Linked DNA regions of Kluyveromyces lactis. The protein of the gene in region 2 interacts with the protein of the main gene of each other region in a pairwise test. Links are inferred from orthologs where the notes say so. Each region holds a gene or a part of one and is shown on either strand. Other genes may lie near its edges.

What was found.
Region 1: the proteins of ATG20 (region 2) and SNX4 interact in binary tests that used the Saccharomyces cerevisiae proteins (3 or more experiments, as listed by UniProt). The link is inferred for Kluyveromyces lactis from reciprocal best matches to the Saccharomyces cerevisiae genes ATG20 and SNX4.

What each region holds. Positions count from the first base shown.
Region 1 is NC_006039.1:941,747-945,113, reverse strand, and holds SNX4 (Snx4p), read right to left. Parts: upstream 1,803-3,367; coding exon 600-1,802; downstream 1-599. Other genes in the region: TAD2 (tRNA(adenine34) deaminase), read left to right, coding at 1-375; BRE2 (Bre2p), read right to left, coding at 2,133-3,350. UniProt on the Saccharomyces cerevisiae protein: Sorting nexin, involved in the separation or division of vacuoles throughout the entire life cycle of the cells.
Region 2 is NC_006041.1:817,472-821,236, forward strand, and holds ATG20 (Atg20p), read right to left. Parts: upstream 2,269-3,765; coding exon 358-2,268; downstream 1-357. Other genes in the region: KLLA0_E09153g (short-chain dehydrogenase/reductase), read left to right, coding at 1-232; TRM3 (tRNA (guanosine(18)-2'-O)-methyltransferase), read left to right, coding at 2,624-3,765. UniProt on the Saccharomyces cerevisiae protein: Required for cytoplasm to vacuole transport (Cvt), pexophagy and mitophagy. Also involved in endoplasmic reticulum-specific autophagic process and is essential for the survival of cells subjected to severe ER stress.

The DNA.
Region 1 (3,367 bases), on a different chromosome or scaffold from region 2:
GGATCTATATTATGCATTCATAATGATACATCTACAAATAAATCTAATAAATATGTGAGCATCCCCGGCGTTTTGCGCAGAGAAGCTATAATGCTTCTACGTTACTTTTATGTTAGAGAAAATGATAGGGCACCCAAACCACGAACAAAGAAAGATAGAAAACTGGATAAAGAGACCTTCCCTCCACTACAATGGGATAAGTATTTAACGCTCGAAGAGTTTGAAGATGAATTTGGCCAGGAGTTTAGAGATGCATTTTATTCGCATAGAGACGTCTACGATGAAATTGATTGGGATCTCATAGATACTGGCTGCGATGAAAGTTTTTTGCATGACCTGATTGAACAGGTGCAGAGTGTTAATTGTACTTATTGAGTTTGACACAATTAAACAATTCCAAGTTTTAGTGATGCTCACAACATGATGGATGTACTCTCTTTCTGGTTTTCGTTTTTTTTTTCATTGCATAAAGATAGCTAGATAGTCATAAATACTGAAACAAAAGTACAAACTTATTAATCGATGTCTCTACGTAATTGTTACGAAGCCTTTGTAGTGTTTTGAAACACAGTGAGAGGCTTCAAAAAAAAATCCAGCCGTCAGGCGCTTTCGAGACGTTCTTCGATCTTCGACCACTTCTCCACCATATCATCATAAAAATCAATATGTTTTTGAGCCAAAGCAGCTAACGAATCTTTCAATTCCAAAGTTTTTATTTGTTCAAACTGTTCGACCTCTTTGAGAACCTCTTTCTCAAATTCATCAGCGACTTGTTTTGATTTTTCGACTTCGTCCGTTAAAGATTGAACTCTGGTCTCTAATTTCGCTATCTTATCTCTTCTTGCCATTTCTTGATTGATACCAGCTAGTTCTTCCAGTTTACTCTTGAAATAATTTCCTGACCCATAGCCAGAAAGTAAATTATTCTTCTCATTTATGGATCGCGTTAGATACTCTGATAGCTCCTCGTAATCTATTTGTTTTTGATCTTTCAGCCTTATTAGTTGTTTCAATGCCTCGATATAGTTTATCATATCTTTAATATCAACGTTATACTCATAGTCAACGTATTTGTTCAAATCATTTAATGAATCTATCAATTGCATCGTTCCATCGTTAAAGGCTTTGATACTGTTTGATAGCTCCTTTTCATCGCAGCAAAGTTCTTGTAATCCTGATAAAGAGGATTGTAATTTCTTCAAATTCTGTCCGATCAGATCAACTCTTTTCACAGATTTATGGAATAGCTTGTCCAAATGGCTCAAATTATGGTCTAACTTTTCGCTCTTTTCCTTAATCTCGACAAACTCATCCCTTTGTCTGTTTACGTGTTTGAAAGCGTTTATCAAAACATCACTAACTTCAGAAGTGGAAATTTGCCCCGTCAAACTCCTTCTATAAACATCCCAATCTGTGCTGGTCAAAAACGTTTCCAAAATCCTGGATTTGGAAAGCTCTGAGTGACTCAACAACCTGCGCATGAACGTTTGAAGAGAACGACAACGTTTCTGAGTAAAAGAATGTGAGAATCTATCCCCTGAAAGATAATTTAGGACTTTCTTATCGGGTAATGGAGGAACAAGCAGTGCAGGATGATCGTTTATCAATATTTGATGTAGGAGTACAAAATCATTGTACCTCCTCACCACACAATTCGGTTCATCTTTGCCATCTATTTTCGTGGATACTTGATAGGTGATATATGTCTGCGAATGCGTTTTCTGTTTCTGAGGATCAGACACCAGCACACTTAATATTTTAGTATCTGATTCTTTATTTGTCAAAGTTCCTGATTCACTCATATTGCATGAGATATTATTCGTATTGCTGGCGTCAGTATATGACGGCTTCTTGTACAGTGTTTTACCTTCTATTTAGTGATCCCTTTTCTATCATATGAAGTTCTTCTGGTTTACTGTGTTTCCAACTATTTTTTTTTATTTTTAAGGTAACAACTCAATATAAGGTATAAGGATAGTTTAAGTTCTTTATAACCATGAACTATTCGGTCGAAATGTTTTCACGGTGCTAGTTGGTCCAACACATTGGAGTGCTAAGCTTTGGAGAACTATAATGTTAATTTACGGTTACGTTCTCTATAAATGAGTATTTAGAAAGATTCTTTTTCTATTTTATGTATCAATTTCGTCTATTAAGTCCCATACAATATCACTTGCGATCTGCTCATTGTAGATATCATTCAGAGTTTTGATATCTACATCTTTCGGTAGAAACTTGAGTTCCATGGCTTCTGTTATGATCGATGCAGTGCCTCCCTGGAATGAACTCAAAGTGGCATAATAACCTAGCCTGTTGTTGTTTACGTATTTATTTCTTATTTCGATCCCCTTCGTGACATTACGTTTATTCCAATGATGCAAATAAAACTTCTCATTGTACTGCAATTCGCTGAACGGAGGTAAGAATGGTGTAAGGCCTTCGAAAGCTATTCCATGGGAAACACCATTTACGAAAACTTCGAAGCTCGAGTTTTCAAGTTCGTAAAACTTTTGCATGTCGTCCCTGTTGTCATAATATTCCGGTTTTGTAGTTTTGACATAATCGGTACTTTCGTAAAACAATTGATTTTTATATCTGATGGCAATTTGATCTCTAACTACATTCGTTGGCTCGCATGAACGCAGTAAAAACTTGTAGAATTCCTTATTGAATTTCTTATTCCTTTTGTTGGTGCGGCTGTCGTCGTTGTTTAGCTCTTGGATTCGTTTTAAACTATAATCCATGGCTTGCTCGCTTTGAGACTGCAGGGAAGGTAAAGTCAGTAGAAATCCGATTCTATCACCTGCTTGCATCTCGTGTGGTTTCAAAACTGTATGCAAGCGGCCTTCGTGAATAACTTGCAATCCTTTATCTCTAATGCTATAACCGTAAAAATCACATCCGACTGGAGTTTCTGTTGATGCCTCTCTTCTGCTTATCCCGCATCTGATGTGTGATGTATCAGAAACGTTTTTCACCTCCACTTCCCAGTATATTTTTCCTTCTTTCATACAAACGTCGCTTCTAACGCTCCTCCACCCGCAGTTCTCGCTGACACTCACCGAATGGTCGTCCAATGAAAATGCTAATTTGTCGGATCTATCCATCAAATTGATAGAGCTTTTATCAAAATAGTCTGTGCCACAATACTTGAGCTTATCCAACATTAGATTTGCAGCACAAGGCTGATACATGAAGTTTCTCTTATTCAATGGCGTGTCCTCAGTGATATAGTACTGTTGTTCATTAATGCGATGAGATTCACTCAATTGCGGAAAATCTGGTTTTTTAATGTCAGAACCGAGATCTACTATATCATAGTCAAGGTATGGTATCACTGGAACACTCATTGAAGATGTCCCGTTTC
Region 2 (3,765 bases):
GAATTTTTTGATCAGCAACGGCCGAGTTCGCTGCTTACTTTTGATTTTTGGTAAAGCTCTTAATTCTAAACCGCACCAGGATATGACGACGGCTAAAACTGTTTTCAGTGCTATCTTTCATAATAGACAAGGTGTTCAGGGATACTCGATGAGGACGAATTTCAAATTAGCTCTAAGAGAATTGGATTGGCAATGGTATCAGATGTTCAAATATTTATCCCCCTTCCTATAAAACTTTTGCCGTTTATGAATATCCGTTCCTTAATGCCGCTCTTGTTGAGAATCTAAACGCGGGAGGGTGGAATTCATATATGTAAAATGTATATATTCAAAAAAATCTGTTAATTCAAAAGCTGATTATGCTTCCTGAATGCGATTATGTAGCTCTTTCCATATTTCAAGATTTCTAGTGGCATTCTCCTTCATATATTTCGCATAATTCTTAAAGATTTGAGTCAATTCTTCGTCACGTTCTTTAATGAAGTTTGGTAATTCAGTATTCTTTAGAGTTTCAGAAATAACGACGAGATCACTAGTAGCAACTTTCAATGTTTCATCTAGTTGTATCAACTCTTTCTCTAAGGATCTTGCAGCTGCTGCAGGATCTTGTTCCTGATAACTGACAGAGTCCTTAATTATGATTGCAAGTTGGGTAAACTTATTTATGAATTTTCCAGAGTAGCTTTGTGGTCCTGCAGGGTTTTCTAGATTCACTGCTCCATTTGTACCAAGCTCTTCCTTTACCATATTGTCTATTTGCTTGTGGTCGTTTTCTTGCTGTTGGAACTTGATGAGTTGACCTCGCTTGTAAAGTATTGTCCTTTCTAAGATATCTTTTTGGATCAACTTTAACCTTCTATAATGAATTAAATCCCGCACAGCAGTGGCCATGTGGGCACATTCACTAAGAGGCTCATTAATGTTGTAATGCAAATTTCCGACAAGAGTTTCCAGAATTTCTTGCAGAGTCCCATATGCATCACTGGAGTGTGAAAGTAATTCTGCTAGTCCACTCTCGTTCTTTGTTTCGTCAGTTGACAATTGTGCAAACTCAGAGCTGATTCCTTTCAAATCTTCCCGTAAATAGTTCACCTCCTTGGTAGTAGCTCTTGAGTATTTATACAAACCAGAATGTATCAATTGTTCGTAATTTTTGAATTCCGCTTCAATTTTAGTGAACTCATCAGCGTCCGAAGCTGAATGATTGTCCTTTGATGCCAGCAGTTGTGTTGATGATGACGGTACTGGCAAATATGAATGTGCTTTTGTAGTGTTTGTAGGGTCTATTGGATTGCACTGAAGAACACTTTTCGGTAATGATGAGATAGTAAGAGAGCTTGTGATTAGATCGTTCCAATTTTTATTGTTCGGATCCAAAAAGTCGTACACGATAGAAGTCTTTGTTATTTCCTGGTTTTTCAAGAGTCTGTTCAAGAAACTTGTAAGCATCCTGATTCTGTGCCGTATGAGCTTCTCATCATTCGTGGTAACCGGTCCGTTAATTACTGATAGCGAAAGATCTACTGAGTCTCCGCTTTCCGTTGGTAATAGGTAACTTGATTTAGAATATGTCATTGCTTTTCCGTAACTCTTGAGTGATTGCTTTTCAGGAATTGGCGGGATCAAACTTATTGGAAATAACTTAACTAACACTTTCCGCAAACTCTCAAAATCGCTGTAACGCCGCTTCACAATTGAATCACCATATTTGATAGCGTAAGCGATATATGTTCTTCCCTGTCCTTCGGATACTTTACTTGCCTCGAGTATTTGGGCCCTTTTCTTACCTTCTTTTGTCATCCCGCTCGCGTTATGGTTTAAGGTATTATATGGCACATCTGGCGAACTATCCTTACTCGTAGCTACTGAGCTCCTACGCCGTTCCTTACTATTTTTTCTTCTGTTTGGCTGAAGAAGCTGGTCCTCGTTATCATCACTTCCGGCGTTTTTGGCATTCTCATCATCGTCATCATTCTTTCCATTCTCATCACTTCCGTCCACGTTATCCTGCATATAGTTGAAAAATGGGTTGTCCTTTTTGATAATCTGGGTATGTATTACATTCTCATGAGGTTGATCACCGTTCTGGTTCGTGACTGCAGTGTCTTTGGGAGATCCGTTGCTTTCCCTTCTCATCTCGCTCTGCGTCTGTAAATCAGGTTCATGCTCCTTATGCTCCTCAACAGTCTTATTGTTTTTAAGTCTTGAAGGACTGTTATTTTCTAAATGCGTTACTGAATTCGGCATTGGTTCAAAATTTATCTGCATAAGGTCACTAAATAGCTCTTCATATGCTCCTAATTCAACCCTTTATCTACTCATATTGAAGTTCGTGTCAATTCATAAGGGGCGTTTTACATGTCAACAAGTTGTAACTTAACTGCCATGTTCGGGTAACAGTCTTCTCGATTTCTAATACGTGTTTCGGGGCCCAAAGTTTTTCTGGCGCAGCCCAATTGTTCATCATCAACATGCATCTTGAAAAATCATTTATACCATTACGGTTAGTTAAATCGATCTGACCAGATGAGATGCGATGAGACCAGATAAACTTAATTACATGTTATGGGAATGTATATAGTTTTAGAACCTGATTTCAACGTAAGGATTTTTATATCAGATAATGAGCCACTCAAGGCAAATCTTGGGTAGGTATATCTCGCCCTCAGTACAAGAAGAGATTCTTTCCTCACTCATTGAAACTGAAGATTATGAAGGTATTAGTTCGGTGCTAAGTTCGGTTGAACTAACAGAAGATGTCTCCATTAACACTGGCAATAGACTATCTATCACTCTTGGAGAAGTAATCGCTAAACATGTCAATGATGACGATGGTTTGCGAGTTGAAAAAGATCAACAACTAATTGCATTGCTTAAGCTTTGTCCCAAGCTAAAGCAAAGCAATAAATTTATGCATGATTTTCTAAGTTCCCATTTGAGCTCATTCATCCTTTCGCATATAACAATGCTATTTGATGTTGAATGTCAACAACTGATTAGAATATCTGGGTTTATTCAAGTTAACTCGCTCGATGACGGATTGATCTTAGATGGAACAAAACTGCTAGACATTCTTGAAGTGTTGGTTCAAGGGTCCGCTTCAGGATCATATAACGACCTCATCGCCAACAGTGTCAACATTGGAAAGCTACTCTTTTTACTTTCGTTATCGAAGGATGAGAAACTTTCAAATGCGGCGACTTCTTTGTTCAAATGGTGGATCCCATCGTTCGCTACAGCCTGCAAAGAGGATGAGAAACTAGATATAACCGTATGGTCTCTTTTACGTAACTTGCTTACCGAAAGCGCACCAATCACAGTTGCAAAAAATGGCTATATCTTTTGTTTAAGGATGTTAATGGAGGATGGATTCTCAACAACAAGTCAAAGTTTCGCCCAATCAAAAGATTACTGGAATTTAATACAATCCGGACTAAACCAGGAGGTTCATGAAATCAAGAAAATTGTGCTCTCTATCATGAAGTTGAGTCTCCAATTACTTGCTCAAAATAACTTACCCATCCTAACCGATATTATCCAATTCAGTGGAAGTAGGTCTGAGATTGAATCATGGAAAAAGTTTACCACCTTATATGAGATTGTCGGGATTGATACCGCTTTGAATCAGTGTGAGGCGGCTGCGCCAGATATCCTTGATATTTTTGGAGATCCAAATGTTCATGCTAGTTGGGGTTTAATCATTCTATCCACCGGTTTAAGAGCAACTATGGAATCGGTCAGAAAATTCACGCTTAGACTGATGCT